Canis lupus familiaris: one gene and its partners. The protein of the gene in region 2 interacts with the protein of the main gene of each other region in a pairwise test. Links are inferred from orthologs where the notes say so. Each region holds a gene or a part of one and is shown on either strand. Other genes may lie near its edges.

What was found.
Region 1: the proteins of KXD1 (region 2) and LRRC45 interact in binary tests that used the Homo sapiens proteins (3 or more experiments, as listed by UniProt). The two-hybrid records come from large-scale screens. The link is inferred for Canis lupus familiaris from reciprocal best matches to the Homo sapiens genes KXD1 and LRRC45.
Region 3: the proteins of KXD1 (region 2) and MAP1LC3A interact in binary tests that used the Homo sapiens proteins (3 or more experiments, as listed by UniProt). The two-hybrid records come from large-scale screens. The link is inferred for Canis lupus familiaris from reciprocal best matches to the Homo sapiens genes KXD1 and MAP1LC3A.
Region 4: the proteins of KXD1 (region 2) and MOB1A interact in binary tests that used the Homo sapiens proteins (3 or more experiments, as listed by UniProt). The two-hybrid records come from large-scale screens. The link is inferred for Canis lupus familiaris from reciprocal best matches to the Homo sapiens genes KXD1 and MOB1A.
Region 5: the proteins of KXD1 (region 2) and CCDC185 interact in a two-hybrid assay, tested with the Homo sapiens proteins (2 studies listed by BioGRID and IntAct). The two-hybrid records come from large-scale screens. The link is inferred for Canis lupus familiaris from reciprocal best matches to the Homo sapiens genes KXD1 and CCDC185.
Region 6: the proteins of KXD1 (region 2) and C15H4orf46 interact in binary tests that used the Homo sapiens proteins (3 or more experiments, as listed by UniProt). The two-hybrid records come from large-scale screens. The link is inferred for Canis lupus familiaris from reciprocal best matches to the Homo sapiens genes KXD1 and C4orf46.
Region 7: the proteins of KXD1 (region 2) and GABARAPL1 interact in binary tests that used the Homo sapiens proteins (3 or more experiments, as listed by UniProt). The two-hybrid records come from large-scale screens. The link is inferred for Canis lupus familiaris from reciprocal best matches to the Homo sapiens genes KXD1 and GABARAPL1.

What each region holds. Positions count from the first base shown.
Region 1 is NC_049230.1:1,121,797-1,124,380, reverse strand, and holds part of LRRC45 (leucine-rich repeat-containing protein 45), read left to right. Parts: intron 1-170; coding exon 171-283; intron 284-598; coding exon 599-657; intron 658-921; coding exon 922-999; intron 1,000-1,266; coding exon 1,267-1,402; intron 1,403-1,484; coding exon 1,485-1,562; intron 1,563-1,876; coding exon 1,877-1,988; intron 1,989-2,090; coding exon 2,091-2,161; intron 2,162-2,544; coding exon 2,545-2,584. UniProt on the Homo sapiens protein: Component of the proteinaceous fiber-like linker between two centrioles, required for centrosome cohesion.
Region 2 is NC_049241.1:44,895,443-44,899,740, reverse strand, and holds the start of KXD1 (kxDL motif-containing protein 1), read left to right. Parts: upstream 1-1,498; 5' UTR 1,499-1,630; intron 1,631-4,298.
Region 3 is NC_049245.1:24,182,743-24,186,313, reverse strand, and holds MAP1LC3A (microtubule-associated proteins 1A/1B light chain 3A), read right to left. Parts: upstream 2,086-3,571; 5' UTR 1,931-2,085; coding exon 1,891-1,930; intron 1,613-1,890; coding exon 1,557-1,612; intron 1,484-1,556; coding exon 1,377-1,483; intron 1,103-1,376; coding exon 940-1,102; 3' UTR 501-939; downstream 1-500. UniProt on the Homo sapiens protein: Ubiquitin-like modifier involved in formation of autophagosomal vacuoles (autophagosomes). While LC3s are involved in elongation of the phagophore membrane, the GABARAP/GATE-16 subfamily is essential for a later stage in autophagosome maturation.
Region 4 is NC_049238.1:49,414,908-49,419,138, forward strand, and holds the start of MOB1A (MOB kinase activator 1A), read left to right. Parts: upstream 1-1,431; 5' UTR 1,432-1,652; coding exon 1,653-1,666; intron 1,667-4,231. UniProt on the Homo sapiens protein: Activator of LATS1/2 in the Hippo signaling pathway which plays a pivotal role in organ size control and tumor suppression by restricting proliferation and promoting apoptosis.
Region 5 is NC_049259.1:24,499,196-24,502,513, forward strand, and holds CCDC185 (coiled-coil domain-containing protein 185), read right to left. Parts: upstream 2,165-3,318; coding exon 614-2,164; 3' UTR 501-613; downstream 1-500.
Region 6 is NC_049236.1:56,143,745-56,147,899, reverse strand, and holds the start of C15H4orf46 (renal cancer differentiation gene 1 protein), read left to right. Parts: upstream 1-1,355; 5' UTR 1,356-1,448; coding exon 1,449-1,634; intron 1,635-3,130; coding exon 3,131-3,286; 3' UTR 3,287-4,155. Other genes in the region: ETFDH (electron transfer flavoprotein-ubiquinone oxidoreductase, mitochondrial), read right to left, coding at 712-745.
Region 7 is NC_049248.1:10,352,222-10,356,332, forward strand, and holds the start of GABARAPL1 (gamma-aminobutyric acid receptor-associated protein-like 1), read left to right. Parts: upstream 1-1,311; 5' UTR 1,312-1,593; coding exon 1,594-1,683; intron 1,684-4,111. UniProt on the Homo sapiens protein: Ubiquitin-like modifier that increases cell-surface expression of kappa-type opioid receptor through facilitating anterograde intracellular trafficking of the receptor. Involved in formation of autophagosomal vacuoles.

The DNA of each region.
Region 1 (2,584 bases), on a different chromosome or scaffold from region 2:
CCCTCCCGGGCTCCTGGCCCCACCGTTGCCCCCTCCCTATGCCTCCACAGCCCTTGGCCTCACGGCGCGCTCTGACGTGTGGGGCAAGACTGCCCACAGTGTCGACTGTCGGGTGACGGGTTCGGGGCCCGGGGCTGGGCTAATGCTGGCCTTCGGGGCTCCTTCCACAGAGCAAGCCATAGCCCACAGTCAGCAGCGGCAGGCTGCTTCCCGGGAGAATCAGGCCCGCACCCAGGTGCTCAGCAAGGAGGTGCAGCATCTCCAGGAAGAGAAATCCCGGCAGGTGAGGACAGCACTGCTCTGACCGCGGAGCCTCATGCCAGCCGCCGGGGCAAGGGGCCGGCCTCGGGGGGCCGGCAGGACCCCAAGCTCCTCTGACTGGCCAGCACTTCGGCCAGTTTGGTCTGGCCCGTGTCTAGGCGGGCAGGTGGGCATCCCTGGGGCCTCTGCGCTCCCCAGTGCGGGAGCTCCTTCCTCCTGTGAGGCCAGTGCCCTTCCGCTCTGCTGCTTGACTGGGCGTCGGCGCCCCTTCCAGCTTGAGCAGGGCCAGCAGGCGGGCTCCGGGCCCTCACAGGGCTCTGGCCACCTCTGCCCCCAGTTTCTGGACTTGATGGAGACGATCGACAAGCAGCGAAAAGAGATGGCCAGGAGCAGCAGGTGAGTGCAGCCCCGTCGGTGCGCCTGCGGTTTGGGTCCTGGCTTCGGCCTTGTGGGATGACTGACCCCAAGCCTCGTCACCTGCCCGCCAAGGTGGTGGCGTGTGCTTCCCAAGGACACGGGCTGGCGGGTTCGGGGCGGCCGCTGAGAATACCACTAGCCGCGGCTGGGACGTCGTGGAAGCATGAGGAGCAGCCGCTGCTGCCAGAGCGAGGGGGCCTGGGAGTGCTCTGAGGTTTCTCGGACCTTCCTTTCTGCTTCTAGGGCGTCAGCAGCACGCATGGGTCAGCTTCAGGAAGCCCTGAACGAGAGACATTCCATCATCAATGCCCTCAAGGCCAAGTCAGTGGGGCTGGGGGCAGGAGTGGGGGCGGGCAGGAGTGGGGGGCTCTGGAACATTTTAGAGATGGACCCACGGTAGAAAAGTGACACACACAAGAACTAGTCCCCAGTATACAAAGTAGATCCCTGGGTTGGTAACCCCGGAAGGCGTCTTGGAGGAGGTGAGCTCTAGCTGAGGTGAAGAGTGGTGGGCAAAAGTGAGAACGGCACCGCGTGTGCGAGGCTCAAGGCGAAGCTGGGACGGGGCTGGCTCTCCCCTCCTCCCAGGCTGCAGATGGCCGAGGCTGCCCTGGCCCTGTCAGAGCAGAAGGCCCAGGGCCTGGGGGAGCTCTTGGCTACCACAGAGCAGGAGCAGAGAAGCTTGGCACAGAGGCAGGCAAAGGAGCACAGGCTAGAGCAGCAGGTGAGCAGGGAGGGCTGGGTGGGCACAGGGTGGGCAAGGGCGGGCAGGCGGGGTGACCAGCGATGCCCCATCTCCCCCTCAGGAGGCTGCAGAACGGGAGTCTAAGCTCCTCAAAGATTTATCTGCTGCCAATGAGAAGAACCTGCTTCTGCGGAACCAGGTATGGGGGTGTGGGCCAGGGCCCTGGGGAGACTGGGGTGGGGGGCAGGGGGCCGGGCCACAGGCAGGGGGCAGGATCATGGGGCAGGGGGCCAGGGCAGGGGCTGGGGCCACGGGGAAGGGGGCAAAGGCAGGGGGCCGGGCCACAGGCAGGGGGCAGGATCATGGGGCAGGGGGCCAGGGCAGGGGCTGGGGCCACGGGGAAGGGGGCAAAGGCAGGGGGCCAGGGCCACAGGCAGGGGGCAGGGCCACAGGGGGACAGGGTCACGGGCAGGGGCCAGACCGGAGCTTCCGTCCATGGTGCTGGCTTCCCAGGTGGACGAGCTGGAGCGGAAGGTGAGATCTCAGCAGGAGCAGCTGTTCCTGGCCAGGCAGGAGCTGACCAACACGGTGGCTGAGCTGAAGGCGCGGGCCATCCAGGCTGAGGGTGGGCACATGCAAGCCCACAGTGGAGGGGCCCAGAGAGGGGAGGATGGGTGGCGAGGGCACCCGGGGAGTCCCACCCACGCTGTCTCCCCTGGGCTTCCAGAGCGTCTGGAACTGGAGAAGAAGAGGTCCCGACAGAGCTCGGAGGACCTGGAGCAGCTGCGAGCCAAGGAGGTGCCACCTGCCGTCCCTTGTGACTGCCTAGGGCCCACGGGAACCTCAGGGGCATGGTGTCCCCAAAGCACACCCCTGCTGTGCTCCCTGGCAGCCTTGGGGTGCTGCGTGGTAGATCTCGGCCAGCCCCAGCAAGTGACAGACCCAGAAACTCCCGACCAGCCTCTAGAAAGGACCATAGCACAGGCTGCCAGGTGCTCCGTGCCGTCTGGGCGTGGCCCTGGGACGTGCCCTCCATCTTTACTTCTTGCCAAGCCAGGGGGGCAGCCCCTTCTCAGGAGGAAGTGTCACCACGATTTGCCTGCCACAGGGTGGAGATTGCATGGGGGATGTAAGCTGGGGCGCTAGTTTTCCAGCCCCATTCCTGCCCCTCACCTTGGCAGGTGGAACACATGACTCGCCACCTGGAAGAGAGTGAGAGGG
Region 2 (4,298 bases):
TATTAAATTTAAAAAAATTATTTAAGGGAGGAGGGGGCAGTGAGAAAAAGGAGAGAGAATCTCAAGTAGCCTCCCCACTGAGAGAGGAGCCTGATCCCACAACCCTGACATCAGGACCGGAGCCAAAATAAAGAGTTGGATGCTTAACTGACTGAGCCACCCAAGTGCCCCCCCAAATGGAGACATATTGAAAGAACATAGAAGCTAACCTAAAGGGGCAGCAAAGTAACTAATTAATTGTAGGAGCTGCTGGCTGGCTCAGTCCTTAGAGCATGTGACTTTTGATCTCATCCTGGGTTCAAGTCCCACCTTGAGCATGGAGCCTACCTAAAATAAAAAAATAAAAAGAGGAAAATAAGAAATTATTGTAACCCACAAAATAAAATGCTCATGAGTTCATAGTGACATACTTGAATAAATGTATAACTAGAAAAGAATGGACAGCTGTTGTTTATAATAGAATTCCAATTAATGATTAATTAATAAATAGAAAATCACCATAGTAATTGTTGCCAGCAAGAACCATGGATGGATGCTAAAACTAGTGGGTGAAAATGTATTAAAAAAAAGTTAGGGTGTTTGCATGGTCTCTTGAGGTATCTCATAAGATACTTATTGAAAGGGAGGAAAGGGTAACTTAACAGTTGAGAAACTGGCAGACATTGCTTTAAGCAAGTAACCAAAGTCAACATCACCAATAATGAGACACATCAATATCCTATGACTCCAGATACGATGTATTGAAAAAGACACAACATCATTTCTGTGGGATTCCTGCCCAAAGTGTTAGGGTTAGGGTTAGGGGTTAGGGTTAGGGTTAGGGGAAACATGAGGAAACATGGGACAAACCCATATTGATGAGTAGTCTACAAAACTAGCACTCTTCAAAAGTACTAAGGTCAGGGGATCCCTCGGTGGCTCAGCGGTTTGGCGCCTGCCTTCGGCCCAGGGCGTGATCCTGGAGTCCCAGGATCGAGTCCCTGCATGGGGCTCCTTGCATGGGGCTCCTTGCGTGGGGCCTGCCTTCTGCCTGTGTCTCTGCCTCTCTCTGTGTGTCTCTCATGAATAAATGAATAAAATCTCAAAAAAAAAAAAGTATTAAGGTCATAGAAGACTAGGAAAGACTGAGGAACTGCCACAGAGTGGAGATTTTGGAGACACGACTAAACGCAACATGAGATCTTGGATGGGATCCTGGACCAGAGAAAGGTCACCAAAAGCGGAGAAGGGATTTTTGAACTAGATGAATCTGATTCCCAACCTAGAAAGCAGGCTGCCTGGGTCTGGCTCAACCACAGGCCACTTGAGCACCGCGTGACCTTGAAGAAGTCCCTGCCACCGTCAGACCTCAGTCTTACCTTCTACTAAATAGGATGCCCGCCCCCTTCCGGGCATCTCGGGCGTTGGAAACTACGCAGGCGCGAGAGAGACTGCTTGATTGGCTATTCGTGGTGACGCACTTGCGAACAGTAGCAGCCCCTAAGCCCCACCCCTTCCTGCCGCGCCTCCTAGCACGCATATCGGCCCCAAGCACGTCGCCTACACGCCTGATCGCACGCATGGTGCGTGGTGACGTCGCGGCGGCGCGGGCGCCATCCCGGAAGCGCGAGCAAGGCCGCCAGATGTGCAGGTGCTGCTGTCACCGACGCCGGGGCCGAGTTCGGGGTGGGGCTGGGGACGCCGGGACCGCTGGGGAGCCGGGCCGGGTCGGGCGCGGCCCCGGGCTGTCGCGGGGTGGGGCGCGCCGCTGGCCACATCTGGGCTCCCCTCCTGCGTACAGGCCTCAGTTTCCCCGTCCGCGCAATGTATGCGCCGGCGGCGCCACGGGCCGGTTCCGGATCCGGGGCGCGGGAGCTGGGGCTGACTATGTTCAGGCTGTGCAGTGTTACCCGGAACCGGGCGTTGCCCTCTTTGGGCCTCAGTTTCCCCGCTTTGCAGGGGCGGGGCGTGAGGGGTTATGCGAGTCCCACCTCACTCGCGGGTTTTGCTAAGGTTGGGTCGCCAAGTTAAATTTTGTTAAATAAGCGGATGGAATTATGGTGCCTCCGCCTTGCCGTGTGACCTTGGGTAACTGAACCCACCCGTGTGCGCCTTAGTGCCCTTGGAGATGATAGTGTTTGCTTTATAGGGGAGATTGGGGATTAAATGAAGTGCTGTCCAAGTGTTTGTTCCTGTTCTTGGAAGTACCAGGGAGCCCCTAGCTAAAATGCTGGTTCCCCGGCCCCGCCCTAGGACTTCATACTCTGCTTGGAGAAGCAGCCCGCTCTGAGCCCAGCTCCTTATCACTATTAGTTTCAGTACCCACAGACAGCGCTGTAAGGTTCTGATTCTTTGTTACTCTCCTTTTCTGGATGAGAAAACTGATTCAGGGAGGTGAGGTGACTTTCCCAAGGTCACACAGCCTCCCTCTCTGCATGTTTTCCTCATAAATACATTTGGAGCAGGGATCAGAGCTCTTGCTGGGTAATTTCCACCCTGTATGTGGGCCAGACTAGCTGTTAGCGAAGTCTTCCTGAGAAAGGCAGCTGGATGGAGAGTGTGCCTTGAATCCCTCAGCCCCATCTGGGACCCAGAGACAGGAAAGAGCCCTACTTTGGAGCAGAACCATTTTCCACGGGTCCAAATCTTGCACCTGCCAAGCACTAGCTGTGGGGCTTCCTGCCACAGGGCTCTGCCCTTCGAGCCCAAGTGTCCTCTTTATATATGATCATACTTCTTTGGAAATGTGGATACTGTGGGTGGTAGTACTTGGCATGTAGTAGGAATTCAATAAACATAGTGATTATTGGGTGAGGGGAACTTCACCAGGTGTGGCAGTTTATTTCCAGAAGACAGTAGGGGCTGCAAATAACTCTTGGCCTCCTTGATGCTTGCAGGGAGAAAAGTATTAACATTTGTAAATGAGGCAATTTCACACGCACGCATGCACACACACACTTCTGGTTTGTTTGTTTTTTTCCTGGAAAAATTCAGAAGTGTGGCAGAAGTTAGTTGCTGTAAGAAGCAGCTGTCCTGGCATAGGTGAGCATTGAAGATCTGTTCAGAGTCACACTTTTGTGGATCCTGCAGACTGTGGGCTTTTGAGTTGTGACTTGGGTTTACTGGCTATGTGACAATGACCCAGTTCCTCAGTGTCTGAGTCTCAGTTTCTTGATATGTGATTAAGGATAACAGTTCTCAGTGTATGAAGCTTAGTGGTTTGATAGCATGCAGTAAGTGATCAATAAAGAGGAAGGTAGAGTTAAGTGGGCTCTGAAAGCCCTTCCTGGTCCTGTATGTGAATCTCAACAAATTGCAACTGGGCCTTTCTGTTGGCAGGTAAATATGTAGACCCCAGAGCCAAGCTATGTCAGGACTCCAGGTTTTGTTTTTTGTTTTTTTTTTTTTTAAGATTTTATTTATTTATTCATGAGAGACACAGAGAAAGAGAGAGGCAGAGACACAGGCAGAGGGAGAAGCCGGCGCCATGCAGGGAGCCTGATGTGGGACTGGATCCCAGGTCTCCAGAATCACACCCCAGGCTGAAGGTGGCGCTAAACCGCTGGGCCACTGGGGCTGCCCAGGACTCCAGGTTTTGCAGGACACTGCCACCTACCCTCAAGGGTGAATGCTGAACCTGTGGCCCCTCCTGCCCTGGCATGGTCCAGGAGGCCCCTACCCGCCATCATGCTCATCTGCCTAAACACAGAGCCATCTAGGTTGCTGGGGCCCACAGACTGAAATTCTTGGCTTTAATTGTTAATAAAAGTCTACCGTCGTCGGAGTGCCTGAATGGACTGAATCCATTAAGCTGCTGCCTTCGGCTCAGGTTATGATCTCCAGGTCCTGGGATTGCACCTCACATCAGCCACCCTGCTCAGTGGGGAATCTGCTCCTCCCTCTCCTGTCCCTCCCTCCTTCCCTCTGCTCATATGCCTTTTCTTCCTTTCTCTCAAATAAATAGATAAAATCTTTAAAAGCAAAACAAAAGTCTATTGTCCTAACTAGAGGTGAGTTTGAAAGCTGCTAAGCTAAGTTCTGGTGATCCTTGCTGTGAGCCAGGTTCTGGGCTGGGCTCTGGAAGAGAGACATACCTCTTGGAGCTGACAATGTTTTGGGAGCAAACTGGTGAAAAGGTCAACTGATGGGGCACCTAGGTGGCTCAGTTGGTTAAGGTTCTACTCTTGGTTTCAGTTCAGGTCATGATCTCAGGGTCATGGGGTTGTGGGACTCTCTCCCTCTCCCACTCCCCCTTCCTTCCTTTTGTGTGTGTACACATATGCTCTCCAAGATAAATACATCTTAAAAAAAAAAAGGTC
Region 3 (3,571 bases), on a different chromosome or scaffold from region 2:
GGCTGCATGGACTTCAGGGGGTCAAAGGGCCAGAGGCTGGGCCCAGCCCTCTAGCCAGAGTTCCCAGCAGAGGAGTCCTCAGGCAAATGAGGTTCGAGTCCAGGGTTACAAATCTCTGGCACCAGAGGGGAGCCATGGCTGGCAGCAAGGCCTGTGGGGAATAGCCAGGAGCAACTCCACTTGGACCCCCACTTTTTGGCTCTGCATACCAGGGAACCCCCTCCATGCTGGAAAGGGGAAGAAGCAGGTGAGCAGGATTTGTTAGGTTGTGGCTACTTAATAAATCTTTTTTGTTATGAAATCTATCCTGGGCCCACACTGAACTCCTGGAAAGGGTGGGCTTGGCCCCTTATATCACCACGGTATACCACACACTGGTGCGAGTTTCCAGAATGAGCCCCAAGTCCACAGCACACAAAGCTGTTCCTAGTGAGCTGAAACTAGTATGAGACAGTGCCACCCGAAGCCCTACCCATTCCCCAAGCAGCTGGAAGCAAAGGGCCAGGCAGGCCTGAGCAATCTTTATTCTGCAGAGGAACAATGACCACAGATCCATACACCATGTCAAGATCAGGTGAGCCAAGGGCCAGTCCTTCAGGGGTGGGCAGGTCCAGGCAGGGGGGCAGCGCCTCAGGTGAGGGAGGGGCAGATGGGCAGGGGCCTAAAAAAAAGATAAATCACACGAGCAAGAGTGCTGGGGGCTGTTCCCCACCCTCCCCCATCCCAGCCAGCACCCAGGAGGGCATCCCTAACAATGACTGGCCCAGGATCCACCCAGGGGCAGAGTAGGTGCAGTTGGTGCCCCCTGGCTAGGGGGCCAGCATCCCTGCCCAGCCCAGCCCGGGCAGAGCAGTTCAGTTCAGGAGCCAGGAGTTCCCTGGGCAGAGCCTGACAGGGCACCCCCCCACTCCCAGGCCAACCACCCCCCCTACTGCTGGCTCAGAAGCCGAAGGTTTCCTGGGAGGCGTAGACCATGTAGAGGAAGCCATCATCATCCTTCTCCTGCTCATAGATGTCCGCGATGGGTGTGGACACGCTCACCATGCTGTGCTGGTTCACCAGCAGGAAGAAGGCCTGCGTGGGGTTCAGCTGCAGGCGGCGCCTGGGGTGGGCAGAAGAGCAAGCCAGTATGAGGGGACCTGGCTCCTGGGTGGGTGGAGCCCTACACCCCCCTTCCCCCCAAAGGATTGAGGTGGCTTCACACCCATCCCAGCCCCTTCTAGGAGCCCTCACCTCTGACCTGACACTGATCCCAGCCCTGACCTTGACTATCCCAACCTCTCCAGAACAGAGATTTAAGGCCAGGCCCGGCCTGCTGGGGCCTCGCCCTCCCCCAGAAGGACCCAAGCCCCTTCTGACTGCTGCTGCCCACACACCGGATAATCTTGACCAACTCGCTCATGTTGACATGGTCTGGGACCAGGAACTTGGTCTTGTCCAGGACAGGCAGCTGTTTCTCACCCTTGTAGCGCTCGATGATCACCTAGGGGTGGGGCGGGGGATGCGTGAGCCCGGCGGGGCCTGGGGCCGCGGGGATGGGGGGTGGCGGGACTCACCGGGATCTTGCTGGGGTGCTGGTCGCGGATCTGCTGCACCTCCTTACAGCGGTCGGCTGCGGACAGAGGGCGGGCAGTAAGGCCGCGGTCCCGCTCGCCCTTCGCCCCGCCTGTCCCCGGCCCCGCCCCCCAACCCCCGCCCCCAGGGCCATCAGGCCCTAGGGCCTGGCACCCGCCGGCTGGGAGGCGAGGTCCCGGCCCAGGCCTGAACCTGCCTCACGGCCCAGGGGTCCAGCCCGAGTCTGACGTCACGGGGCTGACGTCGCCTGCGGCAGTGAGGGTCAGTCTCGCGGGGCCCCCTCCCCGCGCCCGCTGGCCGCCCGCCGGGCCTCACCGAAGGTCCGCCGCTGCTTGAAAGGCCGGTCCGAGGGCATCGCGCGGGCCCGGCGGGGCGCGCAGGCCGGGGCTCCGGGGCGCGCGGCTGGGGGCTTTGGCGGAGGTTCGGGGGCTCCGCGCCTCGCGCTCAAGGGCTCCGGGGCTCGAGCTGAGCCTGGCGGCGGTGGCTCGGGGAGGTAACTCGCCCGGGTGACGTCAGGTCACAACATTCCTTAAAGGGGAGGCCGGCGCGCCACTCCCATTGGGCCGACGCAAAACCCTCCCGCCCGGACCCGTGACGTCACGGGACAGAGCTGGATTCCCGGTCTGGGCCGCGAAGGGGCGGGGCTTCCTGGGCACGTCACAGTCCGGTGATGTCATGGGCTGCCGCCCCCTCTCCCCGAAGCCGGGGTTGAGCCACCTCTCGGCTCCCGCAGCCCGAGAGCCCGAGAGCGAGCGGGAGCCAGAGCCAGTCCCCAGATCGGCATCTTTCCGTTCCCACTGGTGCCAAGTCATCCCATAGGACACTCGGAGTCTGTTCTGTTCCAGCAACGGTGCGAGGCACCGGGGGTGACAACAGTGAACCCAAAGACCTTCTCGCCTTCGTGGAGCTCATGATTAGAGAAAAAAAAGCTAGGGTGAGGGGATTAAAACATGAAAGAGCAAGACACTAAAAAGGAACACAGGTTTTAGAAGGAATTTCTAGAATTAGAAAAACTATTGAAATTCAGGTCTCAAAGGATGAGACAAAAAAGTAGATTAGATATAGAAGATAAGCCACTGAACTGGAAAATAGATCAGAAGCAACTCACCAGAGAAACTAGGTGATGGGCAATGTAAAAGAGGAAGTGAGTCTTCTCACTTCAGTCCTATCACAGGCCCAATCAGAATTCCAGAAGGAGAGAAAAAAAATGGGAGAGGCAGTACCTGAAGAAGAGCTTACAAACTTCATTAAAGACCAGGATTCTCACATAAAATCCAAAGCGGGATAAATAAAAGTAGCATTTTGGCACTTTGTAATGAATTTGCAGAACTCCAAAGAGAAGATAGAAAAATGGTGAGCAACTCAACTGGCAAACATGTGAGTAGATCTAAAACACAGTGGAACATGAACAGTGACGGTTAATCTGTGGAGTACAAAACAAGAAAGGACACAACTGGTAAGACTGGAGAGGGCAATCAGTTCAAGTGTTCTAAGATGCCTGATTTGAGGGGAGAAAGATAAAGATACTGATAATTGCCCAGCTTTGTAAACCAAAGTGTGTATTTCAGACACTTATGAGGGATCACTAAAGAATGGAAAGTGTAATGGCCAAAGCAGGAAAGGAGAAAAAAAGTAGTTAAAAGAATGGTAAATGATACAAAATCAGAGGTAAAAAAGATTTTACATTCACCTATTAAAACAGATGATCAAAAAAATTTAAAAAAATAAAACAGATGATCAGGGCATGTGGGTAACTCAGTGGTTGAGTGTCTGCCTTCTGCTCAGGTCCGGATCCTGGGGTCCTGGGATCGAGTCCTGCATCGGGCTTCCCACAGGGAGCCTGCTTCTCCCTCTGCCTATGTCTCTGCCTCTCTCTGTGTCTCTCATGAATAAGTAAATAAAATCTTTAAAAAATAAAAATAAAAAAGAAATATACAAAGTGAGTAGCTATATACCTAAAAAAATTAATCCAGATGGTTTTCTAAGTGAACTCCTC
Region 4 (4,231 bases), on a different chromosome or scaffold from region 2:
TGCTCAGCGGTTTCGCCCTGCCTTTGGCCCAGGGAGCGATCCTGGAGTCCCGGGATCGAGTCCCGCGTCGGGCTCCCGGCATTGGAGCCTGCTTCTCCCTCTGCCTATCCCTCTGCCTCTCTCTCTCTTTCTGTGTGTCTATCATGAATAAATAAAAAAATAAATCTTTAAAAAAAAAAAAAGGACAGTAGTAATGCGCCTGGGTGGTTCAGTCAATTGTACATCAACTCTTGATTTCCTCTCAGGTTATGATCTTGGGGTCATGGGATTAAACCCCACATTGAGCCCCATTTGAAGCCCCTCATTGGGATTCTCTCCCTCTGCCCTTCTCCCTGCTCACACATGCTCTCTCTCTAAAATAAATAAATGATGTGATATAATGAACACTGAGTATTATGAGACTGGTGAATCACTGGGAAATAAAATAAAATAAAATAAAATAAAATAAAATAAAATATAAAATAAACGAATCTTTAAAATAAGGTAAATGCACCTGAAAACACTTAAAGAAGAAAACAATAGCAAATGTCATCAAGAATATGGAAATATTAGCACCATCAGACGTGCCATGGTGAACATAAAGTGGTCCTGCCAATTCGGAAAACAGTTTGGGAGCTCCTCAAAAAGTTAGACGTATAGTAACCATAGGACCCAGCCACTCCTGAGTATAATACCTAAGAGAAACGAACACATTTGTCCATGCAAAAACCAGTACAGGAATGTTTGTAGCAGCATTACTTGTAATAGCCAAAATGTAGAAAGAACTCCAATGTCCATCAACGGATGAAGAGGTAAACAAAACAGGTATACTCATACAACGGAATATTATTCAAGCCATAAAAAGGAATGAAGTATTGATACAGTGCTACAATGTGGATGAACCTTGCAAACATCATACTTGGTGAAAGAAGCCAGTCACAAGACCATCTATGGTATAATTCCATTTATGTAAAATGTCCAGGTGAGGCAAGTCCATATAAAAAAGGAAGACTGTTGTCAGGGGATGCCAGGAGTGAGGAAGGAGAATGACTGCTAATGGGCTTCTTTTCAGGGTGATGAAAACATTCTAGAATTAGAGATGATGGTTGCATAACTCTGAATAGAGGAAAAATATCACTGGAGTATACATTTTTAAAGGGTGAATTTCATGCTGTGTGAATTACATCTCAACTTAAAAATCAAAAAAAAATTTAAAAAAAACTGCAGCGCTTTTAGAAACCCCTTGCCCTATAGAGAGGATGCCCACAATCCAAGAGCAAACACCCAGACCAAGCAGAAGGTGAGCCACTCCCCCAAGCCAGGGACGACGACCTGGCCGTGCCTCCAGGAGAGGAAGTCCCGGCTGGGAGGCCGCTGATTGGCTGAGCTCTGGGGGAGGGCGGGGCGAAGAGGGGTGCGCCGAGGCCCTTTCGCAGGGGCGGGGCGGGCAGAAGCCTTCGCTCGCGAGATTTTGCTGGTTCCGCATTTCGGGTCGGCGAGGTGGGGGAGGCGACGCCGCAATTGCACCGGCTAGACCCCCGGTTTAGAGCTGCGGCGCCCGGTGCTTCCGCTGGCCGCGAGCTGAGGACTGGCCGCTTCCTCGTGGTTCCCGCGCGGGCTCCGAATCCAGACCGCGGCGGGGGCCAGCGGCCCCTCCCCTCCGAGGATAGAAGATGAGCTTCCTCTTGTGAGTGTGGCCGGGCTGAGGGTCCCCGGGCTGAAGGCCGAGAGCCAGGGCGAGGAAGGGGCTACCGGAGCCAGAGGCGAGGGCCGGGCCCCGGGGGCCGGGGCGGAGCGGCGGACGCCTGCCTCCCCCTCCCACCTCCTCCCCCGCGGGCCGCGCGGGAGGCCCGGACGTGGGCCCTGGCAGATGGAGGTGAAGGTCGAGGCGGGGGAAGCGGAGCGAGTGGGTTGCGGAGTCGAGAGGCCCCGAGGCCGCCAGTGCCTCCAAAGTTTTCCGCCCCAGCGCGGCTGAGGGCGGAGGGACGACCCGGGGGCGGAGCCCGGAGCCCCGCAGCTGGGCTCCCGATTCCCCTTAAGTCTGGAGCTTTCCAGTCCCGATCCCTGCTGACTTAGCTTTTTACTCCACCGTTATTATGTCACGTTTTAATATCTTCGGTATTAAGTTACCCCCGCGGAAAAACGCTGCCCCAGGAAAACGTGGAGTGCCACAGCTTGAGCAGCTTCAAGTTGAGCTGCCGCCTTGCTTGCAGACTTCTGTCCAACTCGGATTCAGTCAGTCCACTTTGCGATTTTGTGTAGATTTTAGTTAATAATCTGCACCCATCGTGGGGCTCACATTTACGATCCCAAGACCGAGAGTCGCATGCTCTACTGACTGAGCCAGCCAGGCAGCGTTGTGACTTTGTGTAATTAAATTTTCTGGGTAGAATCCTGTTTTAGAGATACGGCCTGGGGCCCAAATGAGTCTTAAACGGAAACTTTTGTAAATTCTCTGATGATTCTTGAGCATGTTAAAGGTTTGGGAAGCATCTCTCCAGCACCTCATTATTTTCAGAAGGCTCTTTCTACCTGATACATTACTTAAATACATGCTGTGTGATTGAGGACACATCCATCACACACATACTTGACATTTTTGTTAGATTTTATTAAAGCACATAGTGTTCTGTAACGAGAATTTATCTAGTTCCTTAATGTGAGGATGTTTTGCTTTGGGAGGCAGGTTATGCTCAGAGACTGAGTTTGTCTTTGCCAGCAATTTATTTAACAAAGGTTTGCTGTAGGATTTTCACAGGCCAGTAGCATACCGGATCATGTCTCAACAAACTAATGAAATACTCCCGAGTCATTGATAGATTAAGTACACTGTTTTTCCGGGCAAGGAGAGATAAAAGAAAGCAAGCCCACGTTTAGTTGAGGTGCTCCTTTCTAGGAGTTGGTACTGAGGAGACGGGTTGGGCTTAGCCAACCCAGAGCTGAGGTCCAGCTGCCAGCACTAAAGTAAAAGTCCCTTGTTGCCAGGCAACCATGGCGCTGGTGTTGACCAGCAAGTGGATTTTCCTTCTGGACTGGGCATTTGCCTGGCAGGGGCCGGTTGCCCCAAGGTTTAAGAAAGCTGTTTAGATCAGCCAAGTGTCACCTTGTCCAGACGGAACACTCTCAACTACTCCTCACAAATTCTTGGTATTTATAGTCAAAGTGTCTCCTTGTCATGCTTGCTTCTTCGTAAGTTTTCACTGATAAGCCCCAGCAGGGCCGCTTCAGCTGCCAAACTACTGAGTTATGGGTGAGAACAGATGAGATGATGACATCTCGACACTATTTACCTCATATTTACCTCATTCTTATATGAAAACGACTTTTTTTGGTGTTTGTCATAAACAAGTGGATTAAAACAAATTTCACTTAAGTCATAAACAAGTGGATTTGAAATCTTATCAAACCAATACACAAATTTGGATTCTATCTAGTATTTTGTTATTATAAAATAGCACTACTGAGAGTATCTTTGTTCAAATCCTTTTTTCCCACCTTTCGATTATATTTTTAGGAGTATGATCAACACAGTGTGATTACCATGTCTGAAAGTTTGTATGATTTAGATGTAATTGTAAATCTCTATATTACTGGAACAAACTTTCCCTCCACCCCCAAGGTCTTTTTTTTAATGAGTTAATGTTTAGTTAGGGGTTTGTTTGTGGGTGCTCACCTGCTTAGTTACTTTTAGGATTAAAACGTGAGGCTGTTTTTTAAAAAAACTGTTTTGTTGACAGGCATTTGAGTTTCCACTTTTTGGCTATTACGAATAATGTAGTTATGAACTTTTGTGTTCAGATTTTTGTATTGGATGTGTATGTTCACCTCTCTTGGATATATATGTAGAAGTGGAATTGCTGAGTTATATGGTAACTGGTTTAATCTTTTGAGGAACTGCCAAACTTTCAGAGCACTGCACCATTTTGCATTCCCACCAGCACTGTGTGAGAGTTTCAGTTTACGCACACTGTAGGTAGCACTTGTAGTCTTTCTGATTATAGTAATCCCAAGTCGATGTGAAATGTTACCTAATTGTGATTTTACTTTGCATTTTCCTAATGATTAATGAAGGTCAGCATCTTTTTGTATGCTATTGGCCATTTGTAAATCTTCTTTAGAATGTCTATTCAAATTCTGTGATCATTTTTTTTAAAGATTTTATTCATTTATTCATAGGGAGAGAGAGGCAGGGACACAGGCAGAGGGAGAAGCAGGCTCCATGCAGGGAGCCCAACATGGGATTCGTTCCCTC
Region 5 (3,318 bases), on a different chromosome or scaffold from region 2:
TTTGTGACAACCACTAGGTTTCACCATTAATTTCTTTACTGCAGGCCTTTTCAGAGCCTTTAAAACCTTCAGGTGCATTAGAAACAGCTAAGAGGGCACGTGGTGTGCAGGGTTCCCAGACCACTTGTTTGCAGAGAGCCTCCCACTCACCCACTCACACAATCTCTTCTTTCTTGGAGGTTTCCTGTGACTTCACACCTCACGTCACAGTGATTATTTTACTTTCCGTCCCTCAGAGCATCCGTTCCCAATACCAGTTATAATGTGTGAGTTCTGGGATGGCCAAAGACTTAGGACCTGGATCTGAATCCCCTCCTGTGGATTCTTCTCTAGTTCCTCAAGGAGGGGCCTGATGTGCGCTTCTAAGGTTACCGGACAGCGAAATGAGTATTTTCTATTTAAATTGAAACTTAGGAAGGCAAGGCCTTTTCTTAAAATCCCGGCGTGTGTACCCCCAGCCCTCCCAAGTCCCGGCATGAATCAACGAGCGAGTTCAGGAGTGGAAAGTGCAGGTATTTTATATATTTTCTGAAACCTGTGCTGGTGGCGACCCGGTTCTGCAGGGCGTAGAGGTGCCCGCCTCTGCCTCGCCCCGGCGCCGGGCGCCCCGCTCTCAGCACCTCTGCGGCCCTGCCCCGTGCGGGCCCTTGAGCGGCCTCTGCTCCAGGAGGCTGGTGGCCAGCGCGCGGGCCTGGTCCCTCCTCGAGGCCCAGGACAGCTTCTGGAACTCCTGGAAGGCGGCGTCGCTCTCCCGGGAGATCTGCTCCAGCCTCTGCTCCTTCCTCCTGACGGCCTCCTTGATGCCCTCCATGATGCCCTCCACGTGGCCCTTCTCCTCCTTCTTGGCTGTCAGCCTCAGGATGTGACGGAGCTCCTCCCGCGGGACGCTCAGCTCGGGGTTGTGCTGCCCCTTGTCCCTGGCGCTCCTGTGCTCCGGACTCCTGGGCGGCCACCTCTCCAGCTCGGCCAGCTGGGCCAGCAGCTGCTGGTGCGCCCGCGTCTGCACCTCGGTGGCCCCTGCGTGCGGCTGTACCTGCCTGAGCTGCTCCTGCGGCCTCTGTGGCCTCTGTGGCCCGGTCCTCGGCTCGTGCTGGCTGTCGAGGGGCTGCGGGCAGCTCTGCTCCAGGGACAGCTTCCTCAGCAGCTCCTCGGCCTTGGCCTGGCAGTCCAGGAGGACCCTCCGCGCCTGGTGGTTGACCAGCGAGCTGAGGCTGGTCTCCCAGGCCCTGGCCTGGGTCTCTGGTGCCGGCAGCTTCCCCGGACAGGCCTGCATCCCGACCTGCGGCCCATCCTGCTCCCGCGGGCCCTGCACCGCCCCGGGGGGCTCCTGCAGTGGCGGCTCGGGGCCCTGCGTCCGGGGTGCGGGCTGCGCCTCCGAGGCGGGGGCTTCCCCGGGGTGTCCGGACCTGGCGCTGCCCCTGGGCTGGCCGTCCGGCCCGCGGCCCCGCGGCTCCTGCTGCGGCCACTGGGCCGGGCTCTCCGGGCTCTCCGGGCTCTCCTGCAGCAGCCGCCCGCGCTGGCGGCCCAGGGTCGCCTGCACCCTGTGGCCCGAGCACTGGAGCTCCTCCGGGGCCGCCTGCCGCTGCAGCTCCCGCATGCGCCGGGCCCTCTGCAGCCGCGCCAGCACCCCCGCCGCCCTCTGGTCCCCGGGCCGCGCCGCGGCCTCTTGCAGCGGGTCCTGCCGGCTCTGCGCGCTCGGGGGGTCTGCGCGGGGCCCCGCGGCCGGGCCGGGCCGGCTGCCCTGGGACCCCCGCGGCTCGCAGGCGGCCCTCCCGCAGGCGCACGGGCAGGCGCACGGCGGCCGGACCCCCCAGGCCGCCACGGAGGGCTCGTCCGGGAGCCCCGAGGCCCGGGACCAGCGCCCCGCGCCCCCCGCGCGCCCCGCCCACAGGTCCCCGCTCTGCGCCCGCTGCGCCCCGAGGCTCCCGGCGGGCGGGGGCAGGGGCGGGGGCGGGTCTCCCGTGGCCGGGGAGGGCTGCGGGGGCCCCCGGGGCTGCGGGCGGGGCGCGGGCGGGGGCCGGGGCCTCCTGGCGCGGGCGGGGACCCTCGCGGCCACGTGGGTCAGGCTGTGGCTCTCCAGGGGCGAGTCGGGGCACCCCGCTTCCCGAGGGGACCCCCGCAGGGGCGAGCGCGGGGAGCAGCGGCCCAGGCCCAGGCCCTCCATGCTGCGCCCCTGTGCGCCCCGCGGGCCGCGGCCCCTCCCGAGCCCCACCCGGGCCTGTGACGCGGCGGCCACTTCACAAAGGGGGGCCTGGCCTCGGGGCTGCGGGAGGGGGGGCTGCGGGGGATGGGGGAGGGGGAGGGGCTGGCCTCGGGGAGTGCGGGCGGAGGGGAGGGAGGGGGCTGTGGGTGGGGGAGGGAGGGCCGAGGGTGGGGGAGGGGAGGGGGAGGGGGCTGCGGGTGGGGGAGGGGGGCCTGGCCTTCCGGGGCTGGGGAGGGGAGCGGGGCTTGGGGGCTGCGGGGGGGGGGGGGGGGGTGTGAGGGTGGGAGGGCCTGGCCTTCGTGGGTTGCCGGGGGAGAGGGCTGGCCTTCGAGGTCTGCGGGGAGGGGGCCTGGCCTTCAGGGGCTGCTCCGCGGGGTGCCGGGTACTGGGGGGGCACAGGTGCACCTGGAAGGAGCTGGCTGGAGGCAGACCGCAGCGCGGACTGCGGGCATGGTGGGGGGCACGGGCCGGGCCACGCCTCCGAGGTTTGCAGAGCTCCAGGCTTGCCTCCTGCGCTGGAGCAAGCCCACCCCTGTGTGTTTTGTTTGCCTGTTTTCAACTGAAGTTAATATAGGGGTCTGCAGAAGTTTCTGCAGATTTCCTAACTCAAGAAAAGAATGAAAAAAAAAAAAAAAGAATGGAATTAGGGCAGTTCTAAAGCAGGCTCCATGCGGAGCATCTCGGGGTGTCCTGCTGTCTGGGGGTGCAGTGGGGAGGCCTGTCTGGGCCTCAGTCTCCGGGTACGGCCACCTGCAGAGGAGCGGGATGAGCAGGGGTCCTGCTGTCCCCTTCACCCGCATCTCCTGGCCACCTCGCATCAATCCCACCAGGCAGGGCCTATAGGATTGATAACAAGTCCTTAAGACAAACCTGAGACCCTGGAGGTCACCTGGCCCATGGCAGGGGTTTTCAGACTCACCCCTTTGTCCACGTCAACATGCGCCTCTCAGGACGTGCGCTTGGGGTTGGGGGTGCTGTGTCCCTGACCTGGGAGCCCACCGCCCTCGGGCCCCACTAGTGGATCAAGGCCCAAACACCCCGTGGGTTGGTCCTTGGGGGCCGGCCTTTGCGAGGTGCGTAGGGTCCTTTGCAGGATGAGGGTGAGGCCCCATGCT
Region 6 (4,155 bases), on a different chromosome or scaffold from region 2:
GTGTTAATCACGATGTGACAGGTCAGACTTCAAGTTCTTTTCTTTTTCTTTCTTTCTTATTATTTTCAGACTTCAAGTTCTTAAGCATGGACTAGGAGGGAGGAGGGCTGCAGGTCAGACTTCAACATAGATTTATTTATTTATTATGTATTGAGTTTTTTAATTATTTATTTATTTAGTTTTTATTTATCTGTTTTAGTTTTTAATTAGTTTTTTAGTTTTTAGTTATTTATTTATTTAGTTTTTAGTCATTTATTTAGTTTTACTTATTTATTTAATTTTAGTTTTTAGTTTTATTTATTTAGTTTTATTTATTTTTGATTTAGTTATTTAGATTTATTTAATTTATTTATTATTTTTGTATTTTGTATTTTTGTATTTTTTTAAATTTTTAATTAGTTAATTAATTAATTAATTTATTAATTTTCAGACTCCACGTTCTCAAGAATGGACTAGGAGGGAGGAGGGCCGCGAAGCCAAAGGCGGGACCCGACCCGAGCTCCGGGTAAGGGTCCCAAGAGGGTCGGGAAGGTTCCCCCGCCGCGCGTGACCTCCGGCCCAGTTGTCGGGTCCTCCAAGCCCCTCCCTCCGAGGGGAGGGCGCGAGGTGCCCGCGAGGTGCCCGCGAGGTGCCCGCCGCACGACCTCTGCCCTAGTTCAAGCTGGGGCGGCCCTGCCCGTTCCTCGCCCCGAGCCCCGCGCCCCCTCTCACCCGCGCAGGACAGCTTGGCCAGCGGCACCGACATCTTGACGGGTCCCAGGGCCGCCTGCGGCTCGCCGCGGGCCTCGACGTCTAGGCCGCGGGGGGCGCCATCACTCGCCGGGAAACACCGACACCTCGGCGGCAGTCCCCCTCCCCGCGCTGCCCGCGGCTTCGGCTTCCCCACGGCCCCGCCTCCTTGTCGCTGTGCGCCGGCGCCGCGCGTGACGCTCACGGCCGGCAGGGACTTCCGGGTCAGGTGCCGAGGCGGGCGAGGGAAAAGAACTCCAAGTCCCAGCAGGCCCCGGGGTCAGGCTGAGGATTGGTTCTCCGTTCGCGTCTCAGCAAGGCGTGGCGAGGCCGCGGGAGGGCGGGTGAGAGGGACTCACAGATCCCGCGGTATATGGGTGCGCATCAAAAGTAGTGTTTGTGCGTGTGCGGGGGGAGGGGTGGCGGAGCGACGCCCACAGCATTCTGGGAGTTGTAGTCCTCTAACCCAGGCGCCTTCGGAGCCTCACTGGAGTTTGCGCAGGAGCGATGAACTGCCCCAAGGTGAACGAACTGACCTCTGATTGGGCGTCCGGAAAAAAATGACCGGCATCCGCGGCCCTGGGCAGAGGGCCCCGCCGAGACCGGGCGGGGCTTCGGGCGGGAGAGGCGGGGCTTCCGGGCGCTGGGCGCGAGCGGTTTGAACGGCGGTGGGTGTGGGTCGGGCTGCCGGGCTCCGACCCGCGGTCCCAGCCCCGCTGATGGCGGCCCCCGAGGAGGCGCGGGTCTCTTCGCCGCCGCCGCCGCCCCCCTCCTCCCCCTCGTCTTCGGAGGCCTCGTCAGCCTCTTCCCCCGGCGTTCCGGGGAGGTCGGGCTGGCCGGCTCCGAGCAGCGGCCGCGGCCGGTCGGCGGACCCGCTGGAGGAGGTGGAGCTGCAGATCGGAGACGTGAGTGTGGGCGGACGGTCCCGGCGCTCGCGGAGGCCGCGGGAGGGGGGGAGGGGGGGGGGAGGGGAGGGGGGAGGGGAGGGGAGGGGGCTGGGGAGGGCCGCGAGCCGGCGGCCGGGGGAGGGAGGCAGGGGTGGGGAGAGGGTGGCCGCGAGCAGGCGGCCGGGGAGGGGAGGGGAGGGAGGGGAGGGGAGGGCCTCCGGCTCGCGGGGGCTCGCCACCATCCCCCATCGCGAGACCCCGCCGCTCTGGGTGGCCGCCTGCCGGGTGCCCGGGCCGCGGGCCTCGGGCGTGCTGCACCCCGTTTTGGGGCTCCCTTAGGGCTTCTGTGGCCCCGATTGGTTTCCTTGACGGCTGGGCCCGAGCCCCACGGTGTCCGTTGCATCTCCTAATGCGGCGGTCACACCCCCTCGCACACCCACTCCGGGGGGTGGGGGAGGCAAGCGAATGAGGTCCGCGGGGTGCAGTCCTCCTGGGAGAACCGTGCGCTTGCACGTTCGACCCCCCGTGCAGGTGGGAGCGTCGCTCCTCGCTTAGCAAGCGTTTGCGTTTCCGTCTTGTTTTGTTTTCAAGATGATCGAAGTGCTGACACAGCTTCAGTTTTCGCTGAACGGGACTGGTTATCAAGGGAATATGTAGAGTGGACCGCTGATCTCTTATCTAGGAGCAGTGTTATGTTAGATTAATAGGTGAAGAAAAAACATTTGAATAAGAAGTGAATTGCACCAAGAGTTGGATATTTTGTGTAGGCTGCTCTAGTTTGTTTTGGTTTTGTTGATGTTATTTGTCCGTTCGGAGTATCTCTCTGTTCTTTGGTCTGTGCATTTTCATGGTGTAAGTAGTGTTCACAGGTTAAATTAGTGGGACGCTACTCCTGTTACCTGCCAGGCAGTTGTTTACGATGAAGGAAGCCCTTCAGAGGCTTCTGGAGCTTAGTGTCTAGGGATCCAAGTCCTCTTTTTTTTATCTTAATGAGAGTCTGATGTATTTTCTTTCTTTTAAAGGTTTTATTTATTTATTCATGAGAATACACAGAGAGGAGAGAGAGAGAGAGAGGCAGAGACACAGGCAGAGGGAGAAGCAGGCCCATGCAGGGAGCCCGACGTGGGACTCGATCCCGGGTCTCCAGGATCAGGCCCTGGACTGAAGGCGGGGCTAAACCGCTGAGCCACCCGGGGATCCCTATTTTCTTTCTTTTGAAGATTTTTTTTTTTTTTTTTTTTTAATAATCTCAACACCCAATGTCGGGTTGAACTCACAACACTGGGATCCAGAGTCGTCGCTTGCTCTAGGACTAAGCCAACCAGGTGCCCCTAGAGTATTTTCAATTAAAAAAAAAAGGTACTGACTTGTTATGTCTGGTACATAGTGGATGTCCTTCCAGCAGACATATTCCTCAAAGCTTACGTCATATTAAAGAATTTCTTAGGTTTCTGGAAAGAGCTGGTGTTTTATATTGTTTGACTCTATTTTTTTTTGTTTTCATTAAATTTCAGGCAGCATTTTCATTAACCAAACTTCTTGAAGCCACATCTGCAGTATCAGCTCAAGTGGAAGAGCTTGCCTTCAAATGTACAGAAAATGCACGCTTCCTTAAAACCTGGCGGGACCTCTTGAAAGAAGGCTATGATTCTTTGAAGCCTGACAACTGATTTGGCTGTGTGATAATTCATACTTGCTCATTTATGATGTTTGCATGTGTACCATAAGTATAAGGTTGTCTCCAGCAGTCTGTGTATTCAGAATGCAGTTTTTTTTTTTTGTTTTCTTCACTTTTGTGAAAGCAGAATACCGATGCTATTTTTGATGCTGGCCAATATCTATCTTTAAATACTTTCTGTTCTCTAAACTTTCATAGAATCTTTTATGAAAGTTATTTCATCATTAGATAAGGTTAATAATGCCACAGTGTTACCAGTAGAAAAAAACAGGTAGAGCATTCTATTTGATTTCCAAGAAGATGCTGAAAATGCCCGAGTTTGAAGTTGAGCTTCATTTTATGGACCAAAGGAAATAACTTTAAGGCTACTAGTGTTGGCCCAGCTCCACTAGGCCAGGTTCCCTGGAACTAATGATTGTGTCTGTCTTCTTTATCCCCAGCACCTAGAACAAGGGTAGTGTTCAAACCAGTAAATGTTTGTTGAATAAATGAGTTGACAGTACAATTAAAAGCTGTTTTTTTCTTCTTGTTTTTAGCGTGAAAATTGTAATTGTTTTTCAAAAAAATATTTGAATCAGAACCTGACTTGAAGGAATTTTTTTTTTTTTTTTTTTAACGGGGATTTGATATTTAACTGATGACAGTTTTTAAAAATATATGGTAAATGTTTTTTATCCTTCATCCTTCATGATGCTTTTTAAAGTTTTTATTTCAGAAAATGAAAGCTGTCTAGAAAGAATGTATATATATATTTTTTTCTCTGTTTATTTCTCAGGTTACATGCTTTGTGATGTTGTATGTTCTTTTTAAAGTGCCTTATCAAAATTATGGCTCTGTACCCTTTTTGAATTTTGCACATAA
Region 7 (4,111 bases), on a different chromosome or scaffold from region 2:
TTTGTGGGTTTGTTTTTTAAACCAGAGACATGGGGACTGCTGTTGTATATTTATTTCAGAGCTCCCTGGACTTGATCAAAGCAAAGCGGTCCTTCCTCTCTCTTCTATACCTTTTACAATTTTCTCTGCCTTCCTCCTGCTGATCTACAATCCCTGGAATCACTGCCATTGGCAGTGGTTGGAAAGGCCTTAATTCTTCCATTCTTAGTGGGGCCAGGGGACGGCCAGAGGCAAGCGACAACGGCAGGTGGCCCACCAGTCTTCCACCAGCCCTTCGGGTGGCACTTTATTTCACCTTAGGGACACTTAACAAGTAGTACTATCCTCTGGTGAATTTTTGCAGAATAAAAACAGAAATGGGGGATCCCTGGGTGGCGCAGCGGTTTGGCGCCTGCCTTTGGCCCAGGGCGCGATCCTGGAGCCCCGGGATCGAATCCCACGTCGGGCTCCCGGTGCATGGAGCCTGCTTCTCCCTCTGCCTGTGTCTCTGCCTCTCTCTCTCTCTCTCTCTCTGTGACTATCATAAATAAATAAAAATTAAAAAAAAAAACAACAGAAATGTTTAAGAGGTACTTTGTGAACCACCTGAATTGCTTGGTTATTTTCTTTTCCAGAAGACAGGCCCACCCTCTGAGTTCGTAGGAGAAAGTGAATCATTTCTATATCGGAGCGTGAGCGACGCCCTCGGCAGCGATGACTGACATCACTTCTCAGGACCTTGACGACAAGCTTGCCCTTCAGCTTCTACATCTCAAATTCCTGAGTCATGCTCTGTTGTTGCTGCCGCTCTAGGAGCGAATTGCGGCAAGGACCCAAACAAAATGACGTGCGCGCGCGTGGTGAAGGAGGGTCACGGTCGGAGCGCGCCAGCCCAGCGCCCAGGAGCGGGGGTGCAGACGAGGAGCAAAGGGCACAGTGCAGGCACCGGGCACTTCCGTACCGGGCCAAAGGCACCCGACGACCCCCATTCTTTCTTCTCCTAGATTCCAGATCCCAATAAGCTGGAAAGAGCTCGATTTTCGCCCCCTGTGTTTGTTTTTGGATCCAACCAAGAAACAGCGAGCAAGAGGGAATAAGATATCTTTAGAACGTATTTTTTTTTTTTTTTTTTGCATCCAAACCACTTTTAATGTCACAGCCACACAACGAAATTCGAAGTAAAAAAGTTATATGTTCGCAATACTCCCGACGCAGGAGAGTTCGGACAGAGGGAGAGGGGAGCGCGCCGAACCGGACCGACTTTCGCCCTCCCCCCCCGCCCCCCGCTGCCGTCCGAAGGCTGGGGGCGGGGCGGGGAGGCGGGACGTCATGACGTCATAATACCAACGCGCCGCCGTGTTGTTTTTGTGCTCGAGGCTCCGGGGAAAATCCGCCGGGATTTCTCCACCTGAGCGACTCCGTCTTGCGTCCGAGGGGACCCGACGTCCCTTCTGCAAGCTCTGCCAAGGCGCGTGGCGACGGGAGCTGACGTTTCTCAGGCGGTTCTGACACCTACATCGAAATTCGGCAGGGGGAGGCGAGGCGGGAGAGACGCAGCCACCCGCGAGGAAGGCAGGCCCCGGCCGGGGAATCTTAGAAACCCTGCGGTCCATCATGAAGTTCCAGTACAAGGAGGACCATCCCTTTGAATATCGGAAAAAGGAAGGAGAAAAAATCCGGAAGAAATATCCGGACAGGGTCCCTGTGAGTGTAATGGGGGGCAGGGAAGAGGAGGGGGGAAGGGGCTGAGCGCGCTTGGGGGAACCCGGGAGTCGTGGTGGCTGCCCTGAGGCACAGAAGAGGGGTGGTCTCTAGGGTTGCTGAGCCCCTGGAGAGCCGTGGAGCGCACGTCCTGATTGCGGACCCTGCACGGCCCGTCTCCCCGGGGCCGCTCTCCCCGTCATCTTTAGAGCGGAGCCTCCGTTTGAGTGACTCAGCAGTATTCAGAGGATGTGCAGGGTGAGAAGTGACCAGAACGTGGCCCTTTAGTGAGAGCAGGATCGAGATGGGACCATACATTCGCGTCCTTCAGAATCCCAGGGAAATTGTTCTGGAAATAACTTGGTGCAGTGAGGTTTGCGGCCATGGATTTCTGCCTTCGATGCGTCTCCCTGAAGTTGACTTTGGCTCTCAGAACATTGGGTTTGGGAGGGATAGATTCAGAAATCAGTGGATCCTTTCTTTTATTCCATAAGAATGAGAAAAGTGTCTTTGTTGGGGGGGGGGGGAGGGGAGGGCACGAGACAGGCCTGGCCCAGAAAACAAGGTCACGTTCTCTGCGCCACAGCCCGATTGCCTCATCATTCTTGGCTCCAGGGGCTTGTGAGGGTGCAGCCAGCCTCCCTCCTGTACTTATTCTATCAGATTGTACCTGGACACAACCATGAAGGACTGGGGCCTTTTGCTTCCGTCTTGGAAGCTGGTTTCTGTGGTTAAAATTAGTGCCGGCAGTGGGGAGAACAGAGAAACATTAAGGTAGCTTTCTGCATCCGGGCGCTTTTTTCGTCGCCCCATCCCCCGCCGCTTGCCTGTTTTTTTTTTTTTTTTTTTTTTTGTAATGTAGGCTGCGCAGCCAGATTGGAAGGCAGAAGACTTTTGAGTGTGGTGGTAGAGGGAACAACCACCGTTGGGTTTTGGAGATGGAGGAGCAGAGGCTGTCAGATTGTACTATCTTCAGGCAGGGACATTGGGATAAAGATGACGTATTATGTACAGGCAAAGTAATTGTGATTATGTGTTGTCAGTTCTTGACCTGCAGGTACTCTTTGGGACTCTTCTCCAATCCTTACCTAATTTTCATCGTGTTACAGCTACTGGAAGCAACTTGGGCCTTAATGCCTGCAGTAAAACTCCCCTGCAGTCCTTTATAAGGAAGCGAGACTTTAGGTCTGTTCCATTCCCCACGAATTGTACACAAGGGTTTTCAGCTAAAAAGGAGATCTAGCTCTATTACCCACCCAGTAAATGATCCTTCACAAATTACTTGTTTGGTATCTGGACTTTGGGTGACAGCTTCAAAAGTTTGCCCCAATTGTGGTGGTAGCAAGCCTCCTTTCGTCTAATAGTTAAAAATGACAACTAACTTTCATTGGTTGATTGTTTGCTCTATACTGACAGTATTGCATGTCCTCTGACCTTACTCAATCTTCACACCGTTATAATCCCATTCTACAGATGAAGGATCTGAAGCACAGAGAAATGACGGATTCCTAAAGGTTTCCTGTGGCTGGTGTGTGGCAGAGCCTGAGATTCCAACTCTGGTTGTTGGACCTTCCATGCCATATCGTTTCTCAATTTCTAATACAATTCTCTTAATTAAGAATTAAGGAAAATTAATCTCAGAATTAATTAAGGAGGCACTGTGTGACTCACACTGTTAGGTATTGGAAATTAAGAAAAAACATTGCAGCCCTAGAAAGGTCAGAGAAGTATGATGCCAGAAAGGTAACCCACTGAGCAAAATGACTACCATTTATTCAGAACAGTATGAGGCTCTGTTCCAGTAGCTCTGCCTAAGCCACAAACTCTGAAAGGTACCTGTTCCTAAATCTAGTTAAAATTCCCATGTATTTCTTCAAAACCGAGCCCTTGCCATTTCAGTCTCTTACATGCATTCACCCAGAGTATTTCAGCTAATCTTCCCTATTCTTTTCCTGCTCATTGTTTGGTGTTAAAAATGTTTGGCCTGTGTGATTACTTGTCAGCTCTTAGAATCATCACTCAGGTCTCATGGTTCCTTCAGTTGGGTTTTAACCAGTTTATAAGCGTTCCAGCTGCTCCTTAGGTGCTCAGCCTGTGACCTTCTTTGTGGTCGTGATGCAGGAAGAAGAGCTCTGCTCTCTGAGTTGTGAGATTTAGTTTTGGGCCAGATCCTTAATCTTGCTGTACTAAAGTGTACAGAAAAGAGGGTTAGTGTAAGTGATTTCTAAAACCCCTTCCAGCTGGGCCATTGGTATTTACCAAAGCAATCAGGTTCCCTGACTGCTCACATAACTCAGTTTTAGTTAGGCCCCTCCTTATCTCTTAGCTACCATCCAAAAGAATGGATGTGCTCCTGCCTTGAGAGGAAAGGTTTTCTTTGGATCTTAAAGTATCTGCATAGCTACAGTGTATTGAAAACCTTCAACACTGC